5 linked regions of the Callithrix jacchus genome follow. The protein of the gene in region 2 binds, or shares a complex with, the protein of the main gene of each other region. Links are inferred from orthologs where the notes say so. Each region holds a gene or a part of one and is shown on either strand. Other genes may lie near its edges. The genes, in order: ZMAT2, MFAP1, PRPF38A, SMU1 and IK.

Region 1 (4,343 bases), on a different chromosome or scaffold from region 2:
TTTTAGCCATAATTATTTTTGCTGTGTGTTTTATGAGACGTCATATGAGAAGATGTCAGAAAAGTCAGGAAAATGCTTTTTGAGGGGCTGAGGATGTTATAATGAGCTTGCCTTCTTCACTGTTGATCCCACCCAGATCAGAGAAACCTGGGCATGTCTATGCGTGTGGAACGTTCCACCCTGGATCAGGTGAAGAAACGTTTTGAGGTCAACAAGAAGAAGATGGAAGAAAAGCAGAAGGATTATGATTTTGAGGAAAGGATGAAGGAGCTCAGAGAAGAGGTAAGGCTCTCCTATCCTTCCCTTTTCCTCCAGATTTCAGATTTATGTTATAAATCATGGGAGACCCTGTCCTCATCCCACCCCCACCCCCAGAGTTGTATCTCTTGAGTTCTATATATTAGCAGGAATATTTGTTGCCTTTATTTAGGATTCTCATGACCTGAAGGAAATGGCTCTGAAACTACTTTTTTCTTCTGGACTCTCTGGGCCTTATTTTATTTTTTTGGTATTTCTCTACTTATGATGGGGTTACCTACTGATAAACCCCATCATCAAGTTAGGAATATCAGAAGTCAAAAATGTATAATACACCTAACCTACCATAGGTTAGCCTAGCCTACCTTAATGTATTCAGAACATATTAGCCTATAATTGGGCCAAACTGTCAACACAAAGCATATTCTATAATAAAGTATTCATCTCATTAGTTTATTAAATACTGTACTGAAAGTGAAAAACAATGGTTGTAGGGATACTTGAAGTACAGTTTCAAATATATGTCAGTTTCTCTCCATTGTAAAATTAAAAAATCTTATCAGATCAAGTTGAGGACTGTCTCATCTGTATTCTTTAATTTTTTTAAAGATTTAACTTTTTTAGAGCAATTTAGGTTTATAACAAAATTGAAAGGGAGGTATAAAAATTTTCCGTATACCCATTGCCCCCCGCAACATGCATAGCCTCCCCTGTACTTTTTCTTCTTCTTTTTTTTTTTAAACTACAAAAGGAATTAATTAAATGTACCTAGTCCTAAAGAGGCCCATGGAATCAGTCTGACTGGATCAGAATTCTGTTTCTTTCTCTTACTGAATTTGGGCAAGTTATATAACTTCTCTGTACTTCCATAACCCCATATTAGAGATCTTAGTATAGTATACATGAAGTACAACAGTTTCTGGCCTGTACTGCATGCCTCAGAATGTTAGTTGCTGTTAATACGGTTTTGCTGTCATAACCCTGTTAGGAACTAGAAATGAAACGGGGCCAGATGCAGTGGCTCATGCCTGCAATCTCAGCACTTTGGGAGGCCAACGTGGGTTGATCACTTGAGCCCAGGAGTTCAAGACCACCTCAGCAACATGGGTGGGACCCCGTCTCTAAAAATACAGGGCCGGGCGCGGTGGCTCAAGCCTGTAATCCCAGCACTTTGGGAGGCCAAGGCAGGTGGATCACGAGGTCAACAGATTGAGACCATCCTGGTCAACATGGTGAAACCCCGTCTCTACAAAAAATACAAAAAATTAGCTGGGCATGGTGGCGTGTGCCTGTAATCCCAGTTACTCAGGAGGCTGAGGCAGGAGAATTGCCTGAACCCAGGAGGCGGAGGTTGCGGTGAGCAGAGATTGCGCCATTGCACTTCAGCCTGGGTAACAAGAGTGAAACTCTGTCTCAAAAATAAATGAATAAATAAAAATAATAAAAAAATAAAAATACAAAAATTAGCTGGTATAGTGTGGTATATGCCTGTAGTCCCAGCTGCTTGGGGCTGAGGTGGGAGGATTGGTTGAGCCCAGGAGGTGGAGGTTGTAATGAGCCAAGATTATGCCACTGCACTTCAGCCTAGGCGACAGAGTGAGACTGTCTCAAAAAAAAAAAAGAAAAAGAAAAAAAAGTGAACTGGAGTCCAGGATTGAGAACTTCCCTCTAGGGACTAAAACTTTTTCTTATCCCTCACAGTTTTTACTGTGGCTTTTACTCTGTCCTTCAGATTTTACTTAACTACTTTCTCCTAACGATAAAAAGGAATCTTGAAGCTCATGTTTTTTTCAACAACATTTGGCTGAGGAGTCTAAACTGATTCTGAGTGACTTTTCCCTCCAGGAGGAAAAGGCCAAAGCATACAAGAAAGAGAAACAGAAGGAGAAGAAAAGGAGGGCTGAGGAGGACTTGACATTTGAGGAGGATGATGAGATGGCAGCTGTGATGGGCTTCTCTGGCTTTGGTTCCACCAAGAAGAGTTACTGAGGCTTTCTATGCTTGGCCTAACTTTGGCCTATGCTGGACCTAACTTTGTGTGTGTGTTTGTAGTGGGGGGTAATTTCTTTTTGGGTAATGGTAAAGTCCTTAAGAGTGTCAATGGGGAGGGACAGAAGTTGGGGCTCATGGTTTCCTCTACTTTGGGAGAGGACATAGATTGCAGAGGTAATGCTGTGGCATATTCCTTCAGCCTCAGTATATCACTGGAGTCATAGGATCCCTGCCCACCTGAGTTCCCAATAAAGAAAAACCTCCCTTTCTGAGGCTGCTTTCCCAAAACTCCCCCTGCATCTTGATCTCTCCATCTATCCAACCTCTTGTCTGAGCATCCCACCTTTATCCTGTGTTCTGCCTTTGTTCTAATTTTAACTCATGTTCAGCCTGCAACAGAAGCATTCTCTAGGTCCCAGTTTGCAGTTGATTGCATATCGTTGACCAGCCCTTTTTTCCCATGGTTCTCTAGCCACCTGTGCATGCATGTGTATTTCTGCCTGGTTCTATGATGTGCGTGGATGTGTGTGCATGAATCTGTCACATAGAGGGGGCCTGAGCTGGAATCTCAGAGCATTGCTGCCCTGGGACCTAATGTTCTTGGCTTCCTCACAGCATGTAACAGGAAATTAAATGGGATGAGTGTTTGGTGTGGTTTGTGTCTGGTGAGTTTTTTAACATTCAGGTATAGATTGTTTCAGCTTCTCTTGTTTCATTTTCCTGAGGATTTCTGTTTTTGTCTTCCTTGTGAGCAGGCTTTTGGAAGAACCTGTTTGATACAAAGAAGAAAATGAAAAAACAAAAAATCCCCAAAGCCTTCCTATGGGAGCCATTGGGTCCTAGAAGCTGTTCAACATGTATAATAAATGGCATTGACTGGGCCTGTTTCACATTTGGTGGGAACATTTCATCATCTTTCCTGTGAATATTTGTTTTTCTTTCTCACGCTGAGGATTTCAATATAGAGTGTTTTTTCCTTCTATTTAAAATTTTACTTTTGCCTAGGTTTTTTTTTTTTTTTTTTTTTGGTATGAGTTATGTTTTCCTCTGATACAGGATCTATGCCCAGAGGCGTCTGAACCAAAACTATTCCTATAATTTCAGACTCCTTTGATCTTTTGTTTTTGGAGCAGCAGAACTCAGGGTTCAACTTAGTGCTTTTCTTTTTTTTCTTGAGGCAGTGTCACTTGCTTGCCCAGTTGAGTATAGTGGCACGATCTTGGCTTACTGCAACCTCCACCTCCTGGGTTCAAGTGATTCTCCTGCCTCAGCCTCCTGAGTAGCTGGGACTACAGGCACCCACCACCACACCTGGCTAATTTTTGTATTTTCAGTAGAGACGGTGTTTCACCATGTTGGCCAGGGTGGTCTCAAACTCTTGACCTCAGGTAATTCACCTGCCTCGGTCTCCCAAAGTGCTGGGATTACAGGAGTGAGCCACTGTGCCCGGCCCTTAGTGTTTTTCTTACTCTCTGCTAGACACAGGATTACTTAATCTTGACACTGTTGACATTTTGTGCCAGATGATTATTTGTTGTAGGGACCAATGCTGTATATTGCAGGATGTTTACGATTTTAATTTAGGATTAACTTCATCCCTGGCCTCTACCAACTAGAAGCCAGTAGCACCCTCCCACAATTGTGACAACTAAAAATGTGTGTGCTCCTGAGAAAGACAAAATCCCTCCCTACCCACATTGATAACCACTGAGACGAGCTACCTGTCTTTTTCTTATCTAATCTTGGTCTAACTTGAGAATTAGATGACACAGTCTGGATAACTCAAAACAGAAACAAAACTTTGATATCCACTGGGTCAAGAACTGTGCCAAGTCCAGGGGATGGAGAGGAAAAAAAGTAGTCATATACATACATGAAGAATTATAGTCACATTAATTTCAAGCAGATGAAACCTGTAACTTCTCTTGCTGGTTCTATACCATGAAAAAATTGATTTATGTGGGTTAACAGGCTGCCACCATATAGCTGGTTTTCGTTCTCTGCCCCATTAAGCTCCTCACCCTTCTGTAGTATCTGAACCACTGGGGGTTCCACAAAGCACCATACACCTCCCTTTGGGCTTTTGTACAAAA
Region 2 (6,407 bases):
TATGAAAAATTTATCAGCTGGGCACGGTGGCTAACGCCTGTAATCCCAGCACTTTTGGGAGGCTGAGGCAGGCAGATCACGAGGTCAGGAGTTTGGGACCAGCCTGGCCAACATGGTGAAACCCCGTCTCTACTAAAAATTCAAAAATTAGCCGGGTGTGGTGGTGGGCACCTATAATCCCAGCTATTCCGGGTGGCTAAGGCAGGAGAATTGCTTGAACTCAAGAGGTGGAGGTTGCAGTAAGCCAAGATCGCACCACTACACTGCAGCCTGACAGAGCAAGACTTCATCTTGTGGGGGGAAAAAACTAAAACAAAAACAAACTTATCTTAAATATTTACATTCCCTACAGGACTGTAAGCTCCCTAACTTAAAGTGTGTTTTGTATAAGTATGTATTCAATCCAATTTAATATATACGAACACTCAGAAGCTAGAAAACCTTTACGAAAGCTGGGAATCCGGTGGCTCACGCCTATAATCCCAGCACTTTGGAAGGCCGAGGCGGGTGGATCACGAGGTCAAGAGATCGAGACCATCCTGGTCAACAAGATGAAACCCTGTCTCTACTAAAAATACAAAAATTAGCTGGGCATGGTGGTGTGCGCCTGTAGTCCCAGCTACTTGGGAGGCTGAGGCAGGAGAATTGCTTGAACCCAGGAGGTGGAGGTTGCGGTGAGCCGAGATCGTCCCACTGCACTCCAGTCTGGCTAACAAGAGCGTAACTCCATCTCAAAAAAAAAAAAAAAATAGCTGGGGACCATGGCTCACATCTGTAATTCCAGTACTTTGGGAGGCTGAGGCAGGTGGATCACCTGAGGTCAAGAGTTGGAGACATGGTGAAACACTGTCTCTACTAAAAATACAAAAATTAGCTGGGTGTAGTGGCGGGCGCCTGTAATCCCAGCTACTCGGGAGACTGAGGCAGAGAACTGCTTGAACCCAGGAGGCAGAGGTTGTAGTGAGCTAAGATCGCAATTCTGCACAGAGTGAGACTCCATGTAAAAAAAAAACAACAAAAAAACTTTGAGAACCTCAGAGCTTTATTTCCCATATATTCATCATTTACACACTTGGTTGTATCAGATTTTTACATTTTTGCCCAATCTAACAGGTGGAACAGGTGTGAAATGGCATCTTGTTATTCTAATTTGCATTCCCCTGATTACTAGTGATGCTGGGCATCTTGTTCATGTGTCTAATACGCTCTCTAGGTTTAGCCACCACACCCAGCTAATTTTTGTATTTTTAGCAGAGATGGGATTTCACCATGTTGGCCAGGCTACTCTTGAACTCCTGACTTCGTGATCCTTCCGCCTCATCCTCCCAAAGTGCTTGGATTACAGCTGCGAGTCACCACACCCAGCCTTTGAGACAGAGTTTTGCTTTTGTTACCCAGGCTGGAGTGCAATGGCGTGATCTCGGCTCACCGTAACCTCCGCCTCCTGGGTTCAGGCAATTCTCCTGCCTCAAACTCCCGAGTAGCTGGGATTACAGGCACACGCGACCATGCCCAGCTAATTTTTTTTGTATTTTTTAGTAGAGACGGGGTTTCACCATGTTGACCAGGATGGTCTCGATCTCTTGACCTTGTGATCCATCCGCCTCGGCCTCTCAAAGTGCTGGGATTACAGGCGTGAGCCACTGCGCCCGGCCTTGTTTTGAAGAGACAGGGTCTCAAGGTGTTGCACAGGCTGGAGTATAACGGCACAATCATAGCTCACTGCAGCTTTGAACTTCCGGGCATTAAGTGATTCTCCTGCTTTGGCTTCCCCAAAGTAGCAGGAACACATCACTACATCCAGCTAATTTTAAATTTTTTTGTAGAAATGAGAGTCTTGCTATGTTGCCCAAGCTGGTCTTGAACTCCTGGCCTCTAGTGATCCTCCTGCCTCAGCTTGCTGAAGTGAGGGATTACAGGTGTGAGCCAATGTGCTCCACAAATTCTTATATTCTTTTTTGTTTTTGTTTTTTGAAACAGTCTTGCTCTGTTGCCAGGCTGGAGTGCAGTGGTGCGATCTCAGCTCACTGCAACCTCTGCCTCCCGGGTTCAAGGGAGTTTCACCATGTTAGCAGGATGGTTTTGATCTCTTGTCCTCATGATTCGTCCACCCTGGCCTCCCAAAGTGCTGGGATTACAGGCATGAGCCACCACGCCCGGCCAAATTCTTACATTTTTACAACTCACTTTGGAGAGGTATTAAAGCTGAATTGGCTAAAGAACAACAACTGCAGAACTTGAACTTGTAGCTGGATTACAGGTGCCTGCCACCACGCCTTGCTAATTTTTTGTATTTTAGTAGAGATGGGGTTTCGCCACGTTGGCTAGGCTGGTCTGGAACTCCTAGCCTCAGGTGATCCGCCACCTCAGAGGTGTGAGCCACAGTGCCCAGCCGCAGCACTTTTTTAACAGGGGGAAAAAAACAGCAATGGGACAACTACCTGCCCCTCAGGAGGGAATAAACTGTGGGTTACAGTTTATTTAATTAATTAATTTATTTTTTTTGAGACCGAGTCTCGCTTTGTTGCCAGGCTGGAGTGAAGTGGCGCGATCACGGCTCACTGCAACCTCCGCCTCCCAGGTCCAAGCAATTCTCCTGCCTCAGCGTCCCAAGTAGCTGGGACTGTACAGGTGCACACCACCATGCCCAGCTAATTTCTGTATTTTTAGTAGAGTCGGGGTTTCACCATGTCGGCCAGGATAATCTCCATTTCTTGACCTTGGGATCCACCTGCCTTGGCCTCCCAAAGTGCTGGGATTACAGGCGTGAGCCACCGCCTCTGGCTGGTTACAGTGTACACAATGGAATTCATAAGCAGTTCAGATGAATAAATATCTATAGGGATTCAAAGATAATTCCCAAAATCCATGTTGAGGCTAGACACGGTGGTGTCTACCTGGGAGGCTGAGGCAGGAGGACAGCCGGAGTCCAGGACGTCGAGTCCAATCTGGGCAGCATAAGCAGTCTTCTATGGACAGCAAAAGAGGGACTATATCCCGCACAATGCCCAGCAAATAGGCATTCTCTCTGTCTATGTATCTACCTACCTACATATCTATCTAGTCTGATATTATATATTTATATTCTGATATATACTTAAGTCCCTAATTATTAGATTAATATATATATACTTAAGTTCCTAAGTAGACTAATACATATATTCTAGTAATATGTAGTGATATTATATTCTAATATTAGACTAATACATATATTCCAGGATATTAGACATCTATATTCTGATATATAGTTAAATTCCTAAGTAACTATTAAGTACTTTTATATATGTAATATATATAATGTACATATTAGTCTAAGGAATTTGTGTAGGCTAAGGGGTGCTTGCTGAATATGAGAGCAGGCCACAGGAAGAAGATCGGATGCGAGTGGGTGGGGGTGGAAAGGTCGAAGAATTTGGGAGCCAAATCTTGAGAGCTGGCGGGATAGAAGTGGTCTGTCTGGGAGAGACAGACCTCTCCAGACCTGGGAGAGATCTGGAGGTTGCTGGGGCCGAAAGAGTAAAATTCGGCTGGGAAGAGGGTTGTCAGCACCGTACCTTTCTCATTGCGAACCGGGACGGCCCCAGCCGTAGACTGAATGGGCGGTTGCTTCATGAGAGCGCTTGGGACCGACATGTTGATGGCAGCGACGGTGATTCCCGAAACTTGACTAATTCCAAACAGTGAACACCAACAACGTCAACGAAGAGAAGCGATCCCTTCCACCTACGTTCACGAACACAGCTGCTCGACTGATAGCGAAACCGCTTACGGCTGGGCTAGATAAACCGGAAATATGTAACGAGAGGATTGTGGGACGGTGGAGGACCTATGAGCGCCCACAGCTAGGAAGTTGCGTCTGTTTCTGCGCCTGCTCTTCGGCTGCCCTCGGGTCCTCTACGTCGCAGAAATTGGAAACCGCCTTTGGCGGGAAATTTTGCTTCTTTTGGGCTTTGCTGGTAGGACCGGCGGACCCTGCGGTGAGGAAGGTTCTAATGAAAGGTTCCACGTGTTAGGTTGGTTAGAAGCCAAGAACAGCATAATTAATAAGAAACTGAGGCGCCAGTGAGTTGCCGTTTGGCTTGTTGAAAGCTCAGAAAAAGTAGAGTTAGATGGAGTAAAAATCTTGGTAATAGTATCTGATTAGGTCAGTTGATGAGGCCAGTGTGAGCTGTGGTGCGGTATTTGGTGTCACACAGGGCAGGTGGTGCTGATTTAATCCAGTGACCAAAAAAAAAAAAAAAAAAAAAAAAATCCCCCAAGGTGCCTGAGACATTGCCTGCCCGAAATCCCAAAACTCCACTTCTAGGCTTTCAGGTTCTTCCACTGGTAGTTGGAAACTACCTATTAAAATATATTCCTGGCTGGAAAGTGTTTGCATTTAAGTTTCTAGGTAATTATTATTTTGAGACAGGGTTTTTTTTTTTTTGAGGCAGAGTTTCGCTGTTACCCAGACTGGAGTTCAATGGCACGATCTCCAGCCTCTGCCTTCTGGGTTCAAGCAATTCTCCTGCCTCAGCCTCCCGAGTAGCTGGGACTACAGGCGCGCACCACCATGCCCAGCTAATTTTTGTATTTTTAGTAGAGACAGGGTTTCACCTTGTTGACCAGGATGGTCTCGATCGCTTGACCTCGTGATCCACCCACCTCGGCCTCCTAAAGTGCTGGGATTATAGACGTGAGCCACCGCGCCCCACCGAGACAGGGTCTTGTTCTGTCACCCAGGCTGGAGTGCAGTGGCGCGATCTCGGCTTACTGCAGTCTCCACCTCTCGGGTTCAAGTAATTCTTGTGTCTCAGCCTTCTGAGTAGCTGGGATTACAAGCACCCGCCACCACGCCCTGCTGATTTTTGTATTTTTAGTAGAGGCGGTTTTACCGAGTTGGCTGGGGTCAAGGGATCCACCCACTCCGGCCTCCCACAACCTGGTAATTTTTGTGTTTTTAGTAGAGGCGAAGTTTCACCATGTTGCTCAGGCTGGTTTTGAACTCCTGACCTCTGATGATCCGCCCGCCTCGGCCTCCCAAAGTGCTGGGATTACAGATGTGAACCACCGCGGCCGGCCTATTTAAGAACTCTTTAAGGACTTGTAGAATAATAACAGAAGCAGCCCCAATTTACCAGCTGGGTTGTGTAAAAAAAGAAAAAAAAGAAAAAAAGGGAAAGGGCATATTTCACAGTAGGAAGGACTTTATCATTGTGGGGGACACAAGGGACAGCAGAAACAGTCTTGCAGTCCAGAAACTGTGCATTATACAGGACACCATGAAAAGTTTGGTTTTATCAGTAATTTTTGAGTCGTGGAGGGCCTTGAAGTTGCTGTTAATATGATTTACCCAAATTACTTCAACTGTATTCTATACAGTTGGGCCTTGGGTGGACCAGTCTCAGTCAGGTAACAGTGTGGGACCCAGTTAAGCAACTAAGGAAACAGTTTTGGGCTAGAAGGAACCTTAAACAGAAGAATAGCCAAAATCTTATTTTATATTTATTTATAAAAGAGACAGGGTTTTGCTGTCGCCCAGGCTGGAGTGCCGCAGCATGATGCCTCACTGGCTACATCCTTCTAGGTTCAAACCATTTTCCCACCCCTGCCTTCCGAGTATCTGGGACTACAGACGCACAGCACCACGCAGGACTAATTTTTGTATTTTTTGTAGACATAGGGTCTCACTATGTTGCCTAGGCTGGTTTCGAAGTCCTGGGCTCAAGCGATCCGCTCCTCTCGGCCTCTCAAAATGTTGGGATTACAGGCGTGAGCCATTGCGCCCGGCCTGCCAGTGTTTTGCAGAGCGGCATCCTAGTACCACCAGAATCAGAATCACCAGTCAAAGGTAAAAATGTCAATTCAGACCAAGTACATCCCTAAGGAATTTTCAGTCTAGGGCTTTAAGATGGCTTTCTTAAGAGGCGCGCGCAACCGGGTCTTCCTGCTACTGCGCTGCGACCGCGGTGGTGCTAGTGGGTTCCGCCGCGTCCCGGCCCCGCCCCGTCCTGCCCTACTACTCGCGGCCTCGCTCCACCCCTCCCGGCCTCCTGCCGCAATCTTGGCGGGAAGGCGCCGGCCGCTAAGCAGCCGAAAGATGTCCGGGTCGGACGCGGCGGCTGAGAAGGCGAACTCCAGACAGCGACCCCAGATGAAGGTGAGAAACGGGTTGGTGCTTCCGGGTGTGCTTCTGCCTCGGTTTCTGTGGGGTTCTGCGGGATACAGGCCTGGGAGGTCGAGAGCACCTGGCATTGGGGGTAGGCGGGGATCCCTGCCCTGAGGCCTTCAGCGTCGTCGAAAAGTTTAATCAATAATCCTAGAAATAGCGGGAGGGTCAGATCTGGGATTCGCTTTCTTCAGCCTTCTGCGTTTGCTTTTGTCACACTTATGGTCAGCTTCACACTCTAAATCATTCCATCCGCAGC
Region 3 (5,770 bases), on a different chromosome or scaffold from region 2:
AGCCTCCCAAAGTGCTGGGATTATAGGTGTGAGCCACCACACCCAGCCTAATTTAAAGTTTTAAGAGTGTACTAGATCCATGGTCATTTAGCCAAGAAACATTTCTATCTAAATCACTTTCATAAAGAACTGATAGGATACTGCAAAACATTTACGTAGAGATGGCTATATTTAATTTTAAAAGGTAGTCCTATATAGTTGTATCGGAAACCATAAGAGCTCTTTAATTCAGGTGTTATGAAAGGAATCACTGAAGATTATGAAAGCTCAATTAAGATTTAAAAAAGCTTTAATATTGCTGTAGAAATCTTTCAGTTCAAGAGCAGGCAACAGAATGCACTGTTTACCTTATGACCAGATATAACTTCCCAAGAAAAACTGGATTCTGTAGGGCAGCTGGTCTTCACAGTTCCTGCTAGGACTACAGTTGCAGGAAGTCAGTCACTTTTGTTTAAGGGAGTTAAGTACTGGTAAAAGGAATTCTTCTAGCAAATATCTCATCTCTTGATTATCAATGTCCATGGCGACTTTTTAGTCCTTACTTTGCTTCTGCGTTCTTGACCCTTGGCTTCTTTCACTTACTGTCTCCTAATTCTCCCGTCTTTCTGAATGGGTCATTCCAGTACTTCTTGTCACCAGTGTTGTCTATGGTTCTCATGTGCTTTTCTGATATAAACACTCTCTGTGCAGTCTTATTGACAGATTCCACAATTACTTAAAATATTGTCAATTCTGGCCTATCTCCAACTTTATGGGCTTTTTTTTTTTTTTTTTAGCTATACCATAGCTGTCTCAAACTTGTTAAATTGAATGCATCCCTTTCATTACTAGCACAATCCTCTAATACTCTGCCCCCTAAAAGCTTCTCTTTCTGCTATATTTTCTACTTTGTAAATGGCACTCTTGTCTAGCAATTTAGATCAAAACCATGACTAGTATTAGATACTTTCCTCTCCATCAAATCTTTTTCAATCCTGTTACCTACTGCTACCGAGTAGTCCTGGATAATGTCAATGCTTATATGACAAAGGCTGGATAGCTTAACCTGGATTTCAAGTTTGTGGGCAAGAACCAATGGAACTATGAAAAAATGGGCTGTATAAAGGGTATTAAGTACCACTCTGTTGAACTGTTCAATGAAACTGGCTTTAATGATCCAGAAGCCTAACATTTGAATGCATTCTGTTCTTTCAAAACTGTTAACCAGTTTTCATGTGTATCACCATTTGCTGCTGCTGGAAAAAAGTTAGGAGCTACTATGTTTTACTCATATCTTTGAATAATAGCAGCAGCACAAATCCCAGGATTCTCAAAGTAGTTCTAACTACAGCAAACCAAAAACTAAATGACAGAGAAATGGGAAACAGATGTGTCTGGTTTAATAAAAAGGAGAAGGGTCATCAGGTGGCCACATCCTTTCCTTGTCATTCGTATCTTCAACCTACAGATCCTTTCCACCCTCATAAGTTTGAATACAGTCAAGGTTAGTTCGGTCAAAAACTGATGTTAATGATGATTAAAAAGAGATACAAAACTCAGCACCTCCTTCATTAAAAATAAAGGTTGAGAAACTTTATAAGAAAAAAACTAAAATATTCTTGTAGCTGCCTGGGGAGTTCTTAAGCCTTCCACATAGACAGATACCCTCATATCCACAGGAGGCCATGTGGACTACAACCAAACCGAGTCCATTACTCATTCCCTCTCCGGCTCTTCTTGTGGCTCTTCTTAGACCTGAAATGGAAACACATATAAATAATTACATTAAGGATCTGGGCAGGGACTTCTGAGAAGGACCTTGGCATGCTGACACTAATGGGGAAGGAGCTAACACTCCATATTCATTAAACTGCTTGGTATTTTTTTGATTCAGAGCAACACTCTTGAATCAGGGGTTACTATCCAAATTTTACCATTGAGGAAATCACGTCTCAGAGGTTAAGAGTGCACCCAACAGTATGTGGCACATGGGGGTTTCTAATGAAATCTTATTAAATGAAAGTGACTCTTCCAAGGTCACTCAACTGTTAAGTTTTAAAAGCTGGGACTAAACTCCGTGTCTTCTAAGACCAAAGTTCATCCATTATCCAAAGCTGCAATCCTGTAAAGCAAAACAAAACAAAACGGGTATCTTGCTTGAACCCAGGAGACAGAGGTTGCAGTAAGCCAAGTTCACGCCATTGCACTCCAGCCTGGGCAAAACTCAGCACGTCCTTCATTAAAAATAAAGGTTGAGAAACTTTATAAGAAAAAACTATAAATGCGAAACCGTATCAAAGAAAAAGGGTCTCTAGCCCCAGTAATTTTCAAAGCAATAGACCAATTTTATCTTGTAATTAAGGAGAATTCCTAATATGCCCCAACAAAACAAAATTTCAGGTCCGATTAGTTATAATTGGGACTTTTATTTCTGAATAAAGTTAAAATAGAGGTCAATTCATTACCTTTCAGGAGACTTGGAGTGGCTCCTGTGTCTGTGACTACGGTGATGACCTGGGGAAGAAAAGGCCACTGTATGAGATCCTACCCTTCAATTCTTATTAAACTCCCATTCTCACCTCCCTAATGTCTGCCGTTGGCTTGATATTTTTTTTGGCCTATGCAGGGGACACCTCTTAGTGGTAGCAACTCTCTGAATTAGTGAAGGAAGAGGGAGCAAAGAAAGTACTAACGAAACCAGTTCAAATACAAATACATTCATTCAAGGGCTTTATGGCTGACTTCACAAACATCATATTGGGTTTCTATTATTATGTTAGATCTTATTCTTGTAATTTCAGATGAAAAAACAGAAGCAAACCTTATCAGCAAGGCTTATAAAAGTGACAAGCTGTGAACCTTTATTTTCAGATTCTATGTCCATTTCCTTTTCTGCTACGCAGTTCAGTCAGGCACCCTGTACTGCAGAAGGCTAACTGCTCCTTTTATGTTTCTTTGTTAAGAGAACCTGTGGCAAAAGGCCCAAATGCTCTACCTGGGGACTTAGAACGGGATCTGTGCCGCCGATCTCGGGACCTGCTGCGGTGACGTCTTGGACTCTTGCTTCGATGCCTTTCTCGACGGGGGGAGGGGCTGTAGAAAAGACTGGTCAAACTACCAGATCTGGTTAGCAATATACATAAAACACCAACCAATACCACCCCCACTCCCGAAAGCCCTGTCCTTCATCAAAATGACCGAAGGCCTACCTTCTCCTTTTGGGAGATCGGCTTCGCCTATAAAGAGAGGAAAAAGAAAGCCTAGGTTGGTGCACTGGATGTTGCAGATTGCAAAAACGGCCCCAATTTTATTCTTCACCCTTCTCTGTATCACCCTTCTCTGTATCCATGTCTTTTGTCATGTAACACTAGCACACTCCCATTCTAACTTTAGGACTGGACACATGACTTGCTTTGACTAATGGGATATTTGCAAACGTGATAAAAGCAGATACAAGAAAAATATCTGCATGACTGGGTTTATTTGCTCTTTAGTTCTGCCAGTACCATGAAAAGATGCCCATCTTATCCTGCTGGAGGATGATACAGAGAAGGGAAACTTCCCCTGTCATCCTAGCAAAGGCGATCCCATAGTAGCCAGCAAACAGCTAACAACAAAACAGGTACTTAAAAAACTGCCTATCCAAGCTCTGCTTAAATTACTGACCACAGACTTCTGAACAAAACAAATGGTTATTGTTGTCTGCCAATGAGGTTTTATAGGTGGTTGTTACAATAACAGATAACTAATATACTGGGCAAACATTCTCCATAGGCTGTCATTTTTCCTTCTCTAAAATCCAAACTTCTAGGCTATAGTGCTCAAAATCTCCTGGGAAAAGGCCAACGACTAAGGCTTTACCTTCTGGGAGACCGACTCCTACTCCTTCTGTAGCGCAGTGTGGGAGAGCGACGGGGCTTGTCCAAGTCTCGGTAGCTTCTCCGACGGTGATCAGGTGATGGCACTCTTTCCAACTGGAAACAAGATGGCTGGGTCATTGATAGGCACAAGCTCATAAGGAGCCACTAGAAACACTAATTATACTTTGCTCCACATCTTGTCCCAAAGTCCATCTCCAAGTGACTTTAAAGCACAGTGATCTGATTACAAAGAGGGAAGCACTTACCCTATTAACTAACAAAACTTATGAGCTATATAGGAACAGGAGCGGAGAGAGAGAGTGTGAGTGAGTGAGTGTGTGTGTGTGTGTATGTTTTGTAGACATGGTGAAACCCCATCTCTACAAAAAAATACAAAAATCAGCCAGACGTGGTGGCATGTGCCTGTAGTTCCAGGTACTTAGGAGGCTGAAGTGGGAGGATAGCTTGAGCCTGGGAGGCCGAGGCTGCAGTGAATCAAGATTGTGGCACTGTAGTTCAGCCTGGGCAACAAAGCGAGACCCTGTCTCAAAAAACAAAAGTTTTACCTGGCTGCTTCCTGAAACAACTGGGCAGCTTGGCTGGTTTCAACTTTTCAGCATTGTAACGAGTACTGAAAGAACATGACTATGCAGTTGACATTTTCCCCCTCCTAAACAAGGCTTATTACTGAGGACAGGGGCAATTATGACAAGCGTTATTTCTTTCCAATTATTTAATAGCTGCCACCACTTATTAGGCAATTATAATGTGCCAAAAATGTGCTAAGGGCTTTATGTTTATCATCTTATTTAATACTTTTAACAGTGTTGGGAGAAAAGTATCATTAACCTCACTTTACATAGGAGAAAACTCAATTTAATTTGTGTAAGATTATACCACTAGTATATGGCAGAGCTGAGGTACTTTCAATAAGAAAATATTGTATTTGGTTAAAGAATTAAAAAAAAATTTTTTTTTGAGACGGGGTCTTGTTATTGCCAGACTGGAGTGCAATGGCACAATCTCAGCTCACTGCAACCTCTGCCTCCCAGGTTCAAGCAATTCTCCTGCCTCAGCCTCCTGAGTAGCTGGGATTACAAGTGCCTACCATCACTCCCAACTAATTTTTGTATTTTTAGTAAAGACAGGGTTTCACCATGTTACTGAGGCTGGTCTTGAACTCCTGACCTCAAGTGATCCGCCCACCTTGGACTCCCAAAGTGCTAGGATTACAGGTGTGAGCCACCGTGCCTGGCCAATAGAGTTAAAAATTAGGTCGGGCGTGGTGGCTCATGCCTGTGATCCCAACACTTTGGGAGGCTGAGGCAAGTGGATCATGAGGTCAAGAGATCGAGATCATCCTGGCCAACACAGTGAAACCTCGTCTCTACTAAAATAGAAAAATTAGCTGGGTTTGGTGGCACACCTCTGTAGTCCCAGCTACTCCGGAGGCTGAGGCAGGAGAATTGCTTGATCCCAGGAGGCGGAAGTTGCAGTGAGCCGAGATTGTGCCACTGCACTCCAGCCTGGTAACAGAGCAAGACTGTCTCAAAAAAAAAAAAAGTTTAAAAACAAAAAACCATTCCCATTTTCTATAACTCTCTCCCCTACAGCTCTCAAAGTCTTAGGTGCCTGACCTTCTCATCCTCTTCCTCTTCCTCTTCACTGGACTCCACATCGTCCATGTCCTCTTCCAGAGCACTAACTCGAGGCTCCAGTTGCTCAGCTTCCTCTAATACATAGCGTTTCTATGGAGAAAGTAATGGGAGTCAGGAGTTGTTGCCATTTCCTGAAACCTCACAACTGGGCTTCAGGGCCCCGAGGAGCAACAGCTAAGGCAATTTCTTTTCAAAGGCATTCAAGGTTTTCCTAACAAGTTTAATAGACCTGGAATCTAGAAACTCAAGTTCTCCTATAAACATAAATACAAA
Region 4 (6,222 bases), on a different chromosome or scaffold from region 2:
ACAATAACAACAACAACCATCTCTTACTCAGTGCTCACTACATGCCAGGCACTGTTGTATTTTGTATGTATTAACTCATTTAACCCTCATAACTTATAACTCATGTTCTGCAAAGAGCAGACAGAATTACGTATTTTTTTCTCAACTTTGCCTTATTATATCATGTTAGATAAAACTGGTCTAGTTTAATAGGAGATAAAGCCAACCTTTTGTTCCATTTTGGCACTCAAATATTGACTTTCCCTTCTACAGTACAGGACCAAGAATCTCACTCCCTCCCACCTCATTTCCTTAATTACCAGTTAGACATTTGGAGGCCAGGTTTACAATGGTAGTTTTTCTGTGGCTGTCCTGCCCTCTGCTGGATTCAAGAGACAGATTGCAATATGGGGTCTTACAGGAGGGGGTCTATTTACCGGAAAGCGGGGCGGATCACGAGACTGGATTTCCCTCTGGGTTACTTTTGTTCACTAGAAATCTGGTCTGAGAGGTTGTGATCCAGCCTCTGAGTATGCAGTAAAGATTCTTGGTGAATACAGTTGCCTGATTTAGAGTTTAGAAGTTGTCTCTGTGTGTGCCTGCTTGTTTATTTATATATGGATGGAGAGATGTGAGAGACCTCATTTTTCTAGGGTTAAAAACAAAATTTCCTATACAAATTGATCTTTAGGAATTGGCAAAATTTATCAACTTGTGAACAAGAGATCAGCAAGGTTAAGAAAGCTATACTTTTGGGTATGGGAAAGGCATGGAAATGGATGGATTATTGGAATACTTACATAAGTAGCCAGTTCAGGGAAGGGAAACTAGGTATAGATTGTCATTTCATTATACATAGTAACAAAAATGTCATATTCCACTTTCTTATTACAGAATAAACATTAGTGAGGAGGGTTTGCGATGCCAGGAGCATTGACTATCAATCAGGGGTTAAAAATCCAATATATCGAAGAAGCAAAGGATAGGTATACATCTGTGGCTGCTTGCTAGTCATGATAAAGTTTCATTTCTCAAGAATGGTGCCCATGATCACATTGACGTGAATGCATAAACTACAGGCAAAGCAGCAAATAAGTTCTGACTTGAAACAGGCCACTTGGCCCCAGGGATTATCTCAAGCAGCATGTGATCAGACAGAATATAATTCACACTCCCTACCCTCCGCTGCCCCACCTTTTCTTTTTTAGTTTTTCTTTTAAAAATTAAATTTCCTTTTTCTTTTCTTTTTATTCTTTTTTTTTTTTTGAGATGGAATCTCACTCTGTCACCCAGGCTAGAGTGCAGTGGTACAATCTCGGCTGACTGTAACCTCTGCCTCCCAGGTTCAAGCTATTCTCCTGCCTCAGCCCCCTGAGTAGCTGGGATTACATGTGCATGCCACCATGCCCAGCATATTTTTGTATTTTTAGTAGAGACAGGGTTTCACCATGTTGGCCAGGCTGGTGTTGAACACGTGACCTCAGGTGATCCACCCACCTAAAACTCTCAGAGTGCTGGGATTACAGGTGTGAGCCATGGTGCCCAGCCAGATTTATTATTATTGTGCTGTAAATAATTTTAAAAATTTATATACACTAGTAATAAAACATTTAAAAATAGGTTTTATGTATGAACTTTACTGATACCTCTACATTTCATTTGTCACTACAAATGTAATAATGTGTGTGATCTAAAGTCCGGTGAGGGGCGCGGTGGCTAACGCCTGTAATCCCATTATTTTGAATGGCTGAGGTGGGAGGATGGCTTGAGTCCGAGGCGTCGAGGCTGCAGTGTGCCTTGATCGTGCCACCGCACTCCAACCTGGGCAACAAAGTAAGTCCCTGATTCTAAAAAATCCAAAACTAACCAACCAACCAACCAAAACCCCCAAAACCCTTAATTAACTCTTTCTATAAATTTTGTTACGTCGCTTTCGAATATATTAATATCCCAATCAAGTAGTGCATATTCAGCCTTATCTAAAATCTAATCAACTAATTACATCAAATGACAACCCCTCCTCTTCCTCCTCTTCCCTCCCCTCCCCTCCGCTGCCCTGACCTGCCCTCCTTTCCTAGTCCAGCCTGAATCCTTTTTTTTTTTGAGACAGAATCTCACTCTGTCGCCCAGGCTGGAAGTGCAGTAGCGCGATCTCGGCTCACTGCAACCTCTGCCTACTACGTTCAAGCGATCTCCTATTTCAGCCTCGCGAGTAGCTGGAATTACAAGCGTGGGCCACCACGCCCGGCTAATTTCTGTATTTTTAGTAGAGCAGGGGTTTCACCATGTTGGCCAGGCTGGTCTCCAACGCCTGACCTCAGGTGATCCATCCGCCTCGACCTCCCAAAGCGCTGGGAGTACAGTTGTGAGCCACCGCGTCCAGCCCCAGTGCTTTTGTTTTTCACTGCATTTGTGAGCTGTATGGCGCCCAGTGCTTTTAAACAGTCTTTCTCCAGGAGCTTATTTCTCTAGGGCAGGGGCATAAACTCCACCCTCTGACAGTCCCTCAAGGCCCCGCCCTTGCGCGCACCCCGCCCCTCTTTCTGATCATTCCGTCTGAAGGGCAGGCGCCGGACTCCGGTTGCCGACCCAAGCGGAAGTGACGTAAGGTGGCCGCCGGAGGTGTTGCTGTGTTGCGCGACTGGCCTTGAGGGAGAACTGGGGCCTGCTCCCTGAGAGATACAGCTATGTCGATCGAAATCGAATCCTCGGAGTGAGTCTCGTGGTGGGGATGTTCCAGCTGTGCCGGGCACCCGGAGGTTAAGGTTGTGGGGTGGAGGGTACTCGAGAGAAGGTATCGGAGAGGCTAGGGGAGGTTAGGGAGTGGAGGGCCATTTCGTTGGGCCCAAAGAAGCATCTTGGATCTGGCTAGCTCGGAGGTGGGCCGGCAAGGAAGTAGCCACCCTCAGACGTGAAGCCAAAGTCTCGAGGGAGGTGGCACGGGGTGGGGAAAACACCTTGCAAACCTGAGTTCTGTCCTTGGCCGACTGTGCTGTGATTGATCAAATTAAGGATCCACTCTGGACTCCAGTCTAATTATCACACAGGGGGCTTGGTCTCTTTAAGCCTTGCTTCTCTCCCTGCCCAACTTATGCAAAGTGATTCGTTTCTTCCTCTGTGCTTATACGGTCTCTTTGCTTTCCTCTGCCTAGCGTTTATCACTCAATATTTGATAACCTTACCCCAGACTAGCTTTGACGGTGCCTAGGGGCTCCTTTTCCTTGTGGTCTCAGCGTACCTTAGAGGAAGAGTTAATTGCTTTTGGAATGAAAGAACAACTAGCTATTTTATCAGGCCCTGAATTTTGGTTTGTTTGTGAGCTCTCTGTAGCTGTAAAGGAGAGACAGTCTCTGGAGACTGGGCTAGAAAGAAGAATTTTCAGGGAATGGGGGAGAAAAGTAATGACCAAAGACCTTTAGTGTGCTTTTCCAGAACTCCATCCTCCACCTGTCCTTGCCAACACTTAATAATGATTAAATTAACAGAATTGTGAGAGAGGACCTTTTTTGGAGACTTTTTTTTTTTTTTTTTGCAAGACGGAGTCTCACTCTGTTACCCAGGCTGGAGTGCAGTGGCGCAGTCTCGGCTTGCTGCAACCTCCGCCTCCTGGGTTCACGCATTTCTCCTGCCTCAGCCTCCCAAGTGGCTGAAACTACAGGCGCCCACCACCACGCCTGGCTACTTTTTTGATGTATTTTTAGTAGAGAGGGAGTTTCACTATGTTGGCCAGGCTGGTCGCGAACTCCTGACCTCTTGATCCGCCCACTTCAGCCTCCCAAAGTGCTGGGATTGCAGGTGTGAGCCACTGCACCTAGCCCTTTTTTGGAGACTCTTCATAGGAGGCAGGGAAGTTTATGCATTCTGCAAATACTGAAATCTATGTATTGTTATAGATGCTGGAAATACAGTAGTGAACAAAACAGACAAAAATCCTTCCTCTCATAGAACATACATTGTGACTGGGGAAGGCAAGCAATAGACAAAAACGATAAATAAAATATGAAATGTAACAGATGGTGGTAAATGCTTTGGACAAAAATGAAACAAAGAAGAATGATAGGGAGTGCTGGAGATTATGACAACTAGGTCAGGAAGGAGTTGGAAAGGATTCCATGCTTTGGGGCCTGAGTGGTACCTGTAATGACCATTCTCCCAGTCTTGACCTTGGCTGTAGCAGTAATGGCTACTGCATGTTTTGTTTTGTTTTTAATTAATAATAGTTACTATTGGGCCGGGCGTGGAAGCTCACACCTGTAATCCCAGCACTTTGGGAGGCCGTGGTGGACAGATCACGAGGTCAGGAGTTTGAAAACAGCCTGGCCAACATGGTGAAACCCTGTCTCTACTAAAAATTCAAAAATTAGCCTGGCATGGTGGCAGTCGCCTGTAATCCCAGTTACTCCAGAGGCTGAGGCAGAAGAATTGTTTGAACCCGGGAGGCAGAGATTGCAGTGAGCCGAGATCGCGCCATTGCACTCCAACTTGGGCAACAGAATGAGACTCAAAATAATAATAATAGTAGTTACTATATACTAAGTACTTTCTATGCTAAGCATGCTGTAAGTAGTATAATCAACCTTTTTATCAACCCTACAGGATAGGTATTTTTCTTAACAGATAAGGAAGCAGGCACAGAGATGTTAACTGACTTGTCCCAGGTCACATAATTTTGATTCAAATCCCAGATTGTCTTCAAAGCTTTTAGCTCTTTATATATTCGTTTGTGTTCGAAGGTAGAGAATTTGATTTTGGCTATGTCAAATTTGAGGTGTTTGAGGAGAGAGATGTCTTATTTTGGGAGTGCAAAATGAAAGTCACTGGAAATGTGCTAAGGAGGATAGTACCATACCAGAATAGTAGGGGTCTAAGCTTGGATACCTGCATACCTCAGAAAGGGGCCATGAGAGAAAAAGCCTACTGCAAATAGCAGCAATCAGTTCTCTTTTATAGTTGTTTTTAAGAAGAGGGGCCAGGCATGGTAGCTTACACTTATAATCCCAATGCTTTGGGAAGCTGAGGTATGTGGATCACTTGAGGTCAGGAATTTGAGACCAGTCTGGTCAACATGGCAAAACCCTGTCTCTACAAAAAACACAAACATTAGCTGGTGGGATGGTGCATACTTGTGGTCTCAGCTACTCAGGAGGCTGAGGTGAGAGGATCGCCTGATCCAAGGAAGTTGAGGCTGCAAAGAGCTGTGAGCACAACACTATTCTCCAGCCTGAGCTCTGGGAGTGAGAACCTGTCTTTAAAAAAAAAAAGAAAAGAAAAGAAAAGAAGTAAAGAAGAGAGTGTTTGCTTTCTCCTCAGGAATATATGTTCAAGAGCCACACTGCCAGTTTGAGTCCTGATTTTTCTACTTATTATCTCTATTATTTGGTCACATCCTCTGTAATTTGGGGATAATAATAAACTTAAAAAAAAATTTTTTTTAACAGGACCACCACTATCAGATAGTAGTAAACTTACCTCATAGGTTTTATTTTATTTATTATTTTGAGACAGGCTCTTGCTGTCTTTCCCAGGCTGCAGCCTCAACCTTAAGGGGCACTAGTAATCCTTCCACCCCAGCTTCCCAAGTGGCTGGGACCACAAGCACACACTACTCTGCCTAGCTAATTTTTTTTTTTAGTAGAGAAGGGGTCTCCTTATGTTGCCCATGCTGGTCTTGAACTCTTGGGCTCAAAGGATCCTTCTAAATCAGCATAGCAAGTAGCTGGGACTACAGGCACATGCCACCATGTTTGGCTAATTTTTAAAAATTTTTGTAGAGATGGTGTCTCATAGCTGCCTGGTCTGGTCTCAAACTCCTGGTTTTCAGCAGTCCTCCTGCCTCAGCCTCCCAAAGTGCTGAGTTTACAGTCATGAGCCAATGTGCCCAGCCTCATTGAGATTATTTTGTATCAATGACTAGACTAGTCATTTAAAGTATTTCAGTGAAGTGTGCTATAATATAATCATAAGAATGAACAAGAAACTAGGCTCTAGATTAGGAAATAAGATAGTCACCTTAATACCAACTCCCTTTCTGGCTGAGACATCAGGCAAATGATTTCCCTTCTCTGAACCCCAGTTCTGTCTCTAGGGTGGGGAGGTCCCCTTGTAATTCAGATTCTGTGACTTTGGAAAGTTTTACTCACATGATAAAGAGATGGTGGTGAAAGGAAATGATGAGTAGGAGCTGGGTAGGCTTTAATTTTTGGCCTCTGGCGAGTGGAAATCCCTGAGCTGAATGATTTGTTT
Region 5 (6,274 bases), on a different chromosome or scaffold from region 2:
TATTAAACTACTTTGCCTCACTGGTTGCATAGTAAGGGGTAGAGGGCAGATGATGACAAGAACACCCTGAGAAAATATTTTACAGCACAAGCTTTATAAGGATTAGGAGAACACATTTTTTTTTCACATACACTAAGTCCATCAGAGCCCAGTCTCTGAGGCAGTTGCTCTTAATCCTCAGTGGAGGTTTCAGGCTTTACCACTTAACACATTCTCCAGGGCTCTGGTTACCTCATCAGCACTGAAGTTGTTCAGAGAGACATTCTTCTCTTGGCCAAATGCTGAGGAGAGAGAGGGAGGTGTCTTAAGTATTTTTTCTGCACCGTGTAGGCTACCAAAGTAAAATAAAAGGTCCTTTATCTTACAGTCTTGTTAAGATGGGAAGAGTACACTTGGTATGCCTAGAATTAATACAATGGGTCTCAAACACATCTAGGAAGCCCAAGTCTAAATAGAATTTTGGCTGATTCTGGACAGCTACAATGGGTTGTTTCAGGGAAGCTAAAGCTTTATAGTTAACTACTGTGAGCAGTGTATATTGCATGGGTCCAACCTTGGCTGGGTGCCCATTTCCTAGGCGTCTATGCTAGCTCACATAATACCCAGCACAATACACTGAAGTTACTCGTGTCTATCTCCTTGTAGTCTACTGTCTTTTGGGAGGAGCTTTTTTTCCTCCTCCAATTATTAATGCATGACATACTACAGAAGTCTGTGAGAACCAATCTGCTTAAGGTGGTCACTCTCCTCCACCTTCCCACTGACATTTCCAGGGTACCATATAGTTAAAAGCTGTGATTAAAATCCTGTTATTCAGTATGTATAAATATTTATTGCATACCTACAATGTGTTAGGCAACGTGATAGGAAAATTTCATTTTGCAATATATTGGAATAGGGTAATATAAAAAGGAGCTAGAAGCAGTCAGCGAATGCCTTTTTGAAGCAGTAACATACATGACCAGAATAATAACCTGAATAAGGAGCCAGCCATGCCAGTCTTAGAGAGGTAAGTACATTCTAGAAAAGGGGAATAAATGTAAAGCCTCAATCCTGTTTTATCCTAGCTGCATTACTTTAGCTAGGTTCCACAAGGTTTTGATTCCATTTTTTTCCTAATCTCTACAATGAGAAAAGAAGAACACGCTTCCTCATGACAAATGAAGATTAAATGAGGTTGGGCCCGGTGGCTCACACCTGTAATCCCAGCATTTTGGGAGGCGGAGGCAGGGTGATCACGAGGTCAGGAGACCATCCTGGCCAACATGGTGAAACCCCGTCTGTACTAAAAATACAAAAATTAGCTGGGCATGGTGGTTGCACGCCTGTAATCCCAGCTACTTGGGAGGCTAAGGCAGGGGAATTGCCTGAACCCAGGAGGTGGAGGTTGCGGTGAGCCGAGATCGCACCATTGCACTCCAGCCTGGGTAACAAGAGTGAAACTCCGCCTTAAAAACAAACAAACAAATAAATAAAATAAAAATAAAAATTACTGAGATTCTCACACTATCTGGACAGACAATAGCTACATGTTATTTGAACGAAACTATACTGACTAGCTTCTCTCCTATGAGAAACCCATTCTCAGCTACAAAAACATCAGTTCTTGGTCCCTACGCAGGACTCGGGTCAGCCTATATACTTATGTTGCCAGGGATACAAGGCATCATATAACTCTGAGAATATAAATTTCTTCATGGCAACAAGATCAACAGCAAGGCTAAGTCCGAGTTCTAGTTTCTCCATGGGTTTCCGCACGACCTTGGGCGGTCCCTTCTCTTCTCAAACCCTTGTTCCCCTACCGGAGCCCCAGATCCCTGGCGTCTCGCACTCACCGTAGCGGGCCCAGAGTTTGGGATGCACATCCGAGCACTCGCGGATTAGAATGGGTAGGTCGGGATTCGCCTTCTTCAGCTCCACGTAGCGTTTCTCAATGAAGTCCCTGCAGGGCCGGAGAGCGCCGCGCGTGCTGTGGACGCGGGCTTCCCCAATTTCAGGGAGGTCGAGGTCGTGACCCCGGCGTCCCCAAGCCCGCCCGCCTCACCACGCCGCGCCTCACCTGACGCCCTGGCTGCCGGGTGAGCGCTGACATAAGTGGATGCGAATCTCTCGCAGGGCCAGCTTTACCCCGAGTCCTCGACTCGCTGCGGCCGCCGCCATCTTGGGTAATACCGAAGTCACCAGTGCCAGGTCTTCCGGCCAAGTTCTCAGGTTGGACCAATCGCGGACCCTCCAGCCTAGGCCAAAGGCTGGATGACGCAGGGAAAGCTTAGCCAATGATATGCAAGTATTGTAGGACCGCCCTTTGCGCGCAGGGTTGGTCAGAGGCAAAAACAGGAAGCGGAAAGGCTGAGAACGCAAAGCAGTGTGGGTTGATTCTAAGGTGCACCGTGGGAAAGGGCTTGGCACTGCGGTGTTGCTGTTGGAGACTCGATCGTTGGTGACATCGGAAGACCGCGAACAAAATGCCGGAGCGAGATAGTAAGGGTCATGCCATCCGTTATTTCTCATGGCACTCGGGGCACTTGGCACATTACTGTAGCTTCTGAGCTCGAGCCGCTGTGTGTGTGTGTGTGTGTGTGTGTGTGTGTGTGTGACGCTTGAGCCCCGCGAAGCCGTAGGGCCCCCAGTGAGGCCGGACAGCTCCAAACTCCGTACCCAAGCCTCGCTCCTACTCCAACTGATGATGGGTAGCTTTTGTCTGTGGTTCACTTTCCCCAAATCCTGTCCCCGTACTTAATCCTGGGTTGCGCGTATCATCTCTTACGTAGTATTTTAGACGTGATCTCAGGAAGTCTCTGGTCGTGCACCTTAGGGTTAGGGTCCTCTGCTTTGTGCTCCCACAGCTTCTTGTAGTTTCCCATTTCAGCACTTATTACCTTATGTTTTCACTGCCCCTGTTCTACCTCTTGTTCTATATGTTGTTCACTGCTCTATCCCAAATTTTTGCACAGGATCTGACACATAAGAGACTGATTAAATTAACCTCAATTCTTTTTGTCAGGTGAGCCATTCTCCAACCCTTTGGCCCCCGATGGCCACGATGTGGATGATCCTCACTCCTTCCACCAGTGAGTATTTTGTCGTAGGACCATGGAAATGAGCTGGGCAATGGATAGAGGAATGGTGGTGATGATGAAAGAATTCTGAATGACTTGTCATTATGGATGGTCAAAAATTAATTATGCCCGCTGGCCCTTTATCTCTGTGAACCTTACCTGGATCAGGCCAAGTGCATAAGGGTATGAGAGGAAATTCTGGCAAGAACGGTGATAAGTTTTTGTTTTGTTTTGTTTTTAATATATGTTATGTAATTACACATTATATAGGAATTCCTTCTTCCAATAGAAAATAGAAACATAGGAAATAAGGGTAAAATCATCATTGATAACATTATCAATTCCAGTTCATTTTTTTTTTTTCCTTTTTGGAGACAGAGTATCACTCTGTCACCCAGGCTGGAGTGCAATGGCGCCATCTCAGCTCACTGCAACCTCCGCTTCCCAGGTTCAAGCGATTCTCCTACCTTAGCCTCCCAGGTGGCTGGGATTACAGGTGTGTGTCACCACGCCCGGCTAATTTTTGTAATTTTAGTAGAGACAGGGTTTCACCATCTTGGCCAGGCTGGTCTCGAACTCCTGAGCTCGTGATCCACCCGCCTTGGCCTCCCAAAGTGCTGGGATTACAGGTGTGAGCTACTGCACCGGCCTCTTTTTTGTTTTTTGATTCAGTCTTGCTCTTTCGTGCCCAGGTTGGAGTGCAATGTGCTATCTCGGCTCACTGTAACCTCCACCTCCCATTTCAAGCGATTCTCCTGCCTCAGCCTTCCAAGTAGCTGGGATTACAGGCATCCTGTCACCATTCCTGGCTAATGTTTTATAATTTTAGAGAGATGGGGTTTCACCATATTGATCAGGCTGGTCTCGAAATCCTGACCTCAGGTGATCCACCTGCCTTCGCCTCCCGAAGTGCTGGGATTACAGGCATGAGCCAATGTGCCTGGACCACAGTTACAATTTTATGTGTATCTTTTCCTCCTGTTGTCCATGCTGGAGTGCAATGGCACGATTTCTGTTAACTGCAACATGCACCTCCCGGGCTCAAGCAATTCTTCTGCCTCAGTTTCCTGAGTAGCTGGGGTTATACCAGGCGCCTACCACTACCCCTGGCTAATTTTTGTATTTTTAGTAGAGACGGGGTTTCACCATGTTGGCCAGCCCAGTCTTGAACTCATCACCTCAAATGATCTGCCCTCCTTGGCCGCCCAAAGTGCTGGGATTGCAGGCATGAGCCACCATGCCCAGCCCTCCTCCTCCTTTTAAAATGCATTTATACATATGCATGCATATCTAAGGAAAATACAACATTGCCTTATGATTTAAAATATTTAAGTTAAATGATATTATGCTGTATATGTCATTTTTGCAACTTGCTTCTTTTTTTTTTTCTGCCTGCCTTGGCCTCCCAAAGTGCTGGGATTACAGGCGTGAACCACTGTACCCAGCTACAACTTGCTTCTTTTTAAGCCCTGCTCAGTGTTTCTGAGACTGACAAGCATTCCCTCTTTGGCTAAACTTTAGTCAGGTTCCTCAAAGAGTCCTGTTTTTCAGCAGGACTCATCTTTGGCCTGCTGAGCACAGTTTTAGCAAAGAAATCAGCCCCCGCTGCACCTTCAAACCTAACCAAATTGTCCTTAGTAATTTTCTATAAATTCTCACTTGTCCCTGTTGTATTTGGAATTGAATTCAATCTCTCTACTCTATTACAATGGTCTTGACTCCTGTTTCAATAGTCTTTGATAAAGTTTTCCTTGGAAAGAAGAGGAACTTGATTAGACATTGAGGGTGGGAGAAGAGGAGCTGGATTGGATATCAAGAGTGGGAAAACTTTCTGTGAACTGACTTAGGATTTCTTTTTTTTTTTTTTTAAGTTCTGGGGTACGCATGCAGAATATGCAGGTTTGTTACATAGGTATACCTGTGCCATGGTGGTCTGCTGCATCCATCACCCCATCATCTATATTAGGTATTTCTCCCAAGGCTCTCCCTCCTCCACCCCTCAACCCTGACAGGCTCCAGTGTGTGTGATGTTTCCCTCCCTGTGTCCATGTGTTCTCACTGTTGAACTCCCACTTATGAGTGAGAACATGAGGTGTTTGGTTTTCTGTTCTTGTGTTAATTTGCTGAGAATGATGGTTTCTACCTTCATCCATGTCCCTGCAAAGGACATGAACTCATCCTTTTTTATGGCTGCATAGTATTCCACATGACACATTTTCTTTATCCAGTCTGTCACTGATGGGCATTTAGGTTGGTTCCAAGTCTTTGCTATTCTGAACAGTGCCACAGTAAACATTTGTGTGCATAGACACAGTCTTTATTACCTGAGGTTAGGAGCTCAAGACAAGCTTGGCCAACATGGTGAAACCTCATCTCTACTGAAAATACAAAAATTAGCCGGGCATGGTGGCAGGCACCTGTAATCCAGGCTACTCAGGAGGCTGAGCCAGGAGAATCACTTGAACTTAGGGGGCAGAGGTTGCAGTGAGTCAAGATCATGCCACTCCAGCCTGGGTGACAGAACAAGACCAAGACTCAGTCTCAGAAAAAACAAAACCAAAACCTGAGGTCAGCAGGCCAAGGAAGAGCCCTAGTCAGAAGAGAGCTTCAAAGGAGTCTGTCTGACTTTAATTGATTAACAGGGAAGTCAGTTCTTGTCGGTGTACCAATTAAAATAATCTCTCATACCATTAGTTCTATCTTTCCCTCTTTGGAAAACACCGTTACAGTTTAGTTCATCTCCAGCTAATAAACACTTAGTTCTGTTTCAGACTGATTAATTTCTTTTTTTGAGACAGAGTCTTGCTCTTTTTGCCTAGGCTGGAGTGCAGTACCTCAACAGAGGGAGATTCTGTCTCAAAAAAAAAAAAGTGGCATATTTTTGTTTTAATTTGTATTTCCCTGATTTCTGTTTAATTATGATTTTTATGTGTTTCTTTTTCTTTGTTGAAGGTTTCAAATGTACTTTATTTCTTCAATAATGCCATATCTTAATGGGTACACAGTGCTTTAACTTGGCATCAACTATGAGATGTTTTTTAAACAATTTATTATTACACCAGTTGGGATTATTACTAATCTCTCCATTCCTTTGGAATGACTCTGCCAACAGGGGAAAGGGTCCATTCTATTCCGATTTGTGTTGCTACATATGTCCATACAGCAATACAGAAAGTGGTTCTACCAGCTAATACAGCATTCCCATATTTGTCATG

What was found.
Region 1: MFAP1 (region 2) and ZMAT2 share a complex: the UniProt entries of both Homo sapiens proteins name them as parts of the spliceosome B complex. The link is inferred for Callithrix jacchus from reciprocal best matches to the Homo sapiens genes MFAP1 and ZMAT2.
Region 3: the proteins of MFAP1 (region 2) and PRPF38A are in contact, whole or in part, in a crystal structure (PDB 5F5S), measured with the Homo sapiens proteins. The link is inferred for Callithrix jacchus from reciprocal best matches to the Homo sapiens genes MFAP1 and PRPF38A. Residues at the interface, in NP_005917.2 of Homo sapiens: Glu275, Tyr276, Trp279, Arg282, Glu283, Arg286, Arg289, Asp290, Arg294, Leu297, Glu298, Lys301; in NP_116253.2 of Homo sapiens: Tyr124, Asn125, Tyr127, Lys129, His143, Asp145, Glu146, Asp149, His153, Tyr169, Val170, Glu172.
Region 4: MFAP1 (region 2) and SMU1 share a complex: the UniProt entries of both Homo sapiens proteins name them as parts of the spliceosome B complex. The link is inferred for Callithrix jacchus from reciprocal best matches to the Homo sapiens genes MFAP1 and SMU1.
Region 5: MFAP1 (region 2) and IK share a complex: the UniProt entries of both Homo sapiens proteins name them as parts of the spliceosome B complex. The link is inferred for Callithrix jacchus from reciprocal best matches to the Homo sapiens genes MFAP1 and IK.

The regions. Positions count from the first base shown.
Region 1 is NC_133503.1:39,074,504-39,078,846, forward strand, and holds the end of ZMAT2 (zinc finger matrin-type protein 2), read left to right. Parts: intron 1-136; coding exon 137-282; intron 283-430; coding exon of another isoform or gene 431-526; exon of another isoform or gene 527-719; intron 720-2,103; coding exon 2,104-2,247; 3' UTR 2,248-3,142; downstream 3,143-4,343. UniProt on the Homo sapiens protein: Involved in pre-mRNA splicing as a component of the spliceosome.
Region 2 is NC_133509.1:31,483,521-31,489,927, forward strand, and holds the start of MFAP1 (microfibrillar-associated protein 1), read right to left. Parts: upstream 3,770-6,407; 5' UTR 3,634-3,769; coding exon 3,555-3,633; intron 1-3,554. Other genes in the region: WDR76 (WD repeat-containing protein 76), read left to right, coding at 6,080-6,139. UniProt on the Homo sapiens protein: Involved in pre-mRNA splicing as a component of the spliceosome.
Region 3 is NC_133508.1:89,574,396-89,580,165, forward strand, and holds the end of PRPF38A (pre-mRNA-splicing factor 38A), read right to left. Parts: intron 5,588-5,770; coding exon 5,477-5,587; intron 3,954-5,476; coding exon 3,841-3,953; intron 3,216-3,840; coding exon 3,189-3,215; intron 3,094-3,188; coding exon 2,975-3,093; intron 2,494-2,974; coding exon 2,445-2,493; intron 1,735-2,444; coding exon 1,692-1,734; 3' UTR 1,125-1,691; downstream 1-1,124. UniProt on the Homo sapiens protein: Involved in pre-mRNA splicing as a component of the spliceosome.
Region 4 is NC_133502.1:140,279,446-140,285,667, reverse strand, and holds the start of SMU1 (WD40 repeat-containing protein SMU1), read left to right. Parts: upstream 1-2,570; 5' UTR 2,571-2,666; coding exon 2,667-2,692; intron 2,693-6,222. UniProt on the Homo sapiens protein: Involved in pre-mRNA splicing as a component of the spliceosome. Regulates alternative splicing of the HSPG2 pre-mRNA. Required for normal accumulation of IK.
Region 5 is NC_133503.1:39,012,841-39,019,114, forward strand, and holds the start of IK (protein Red), read left to right. Parts: upstream 1-2,357; 5' UTR 2,358-2,465; coding exon 2,466-2,481; intron 2,482-3,004; coding exon 3,005-3,071; intron 3,072-6,038; exon of another isoform or gene 6,039-6,274. Other genes in the region: NDUFA2 (NADH dehydrogenase [ubiquinone] 1 alpha subcomplex subunit 2), read right to left, coding at 190-281, 1,836-1,969, 2,060-2,160. UniProt on the Homo sapiens protein: Involved in pre-mRNA splicing as a component of the spliceosome. Auxiliary spliceosomal protein that regulates selection of alternative splice sites in a small set of target pre-mRNA species. Required for normal mitotic cell cycle progression.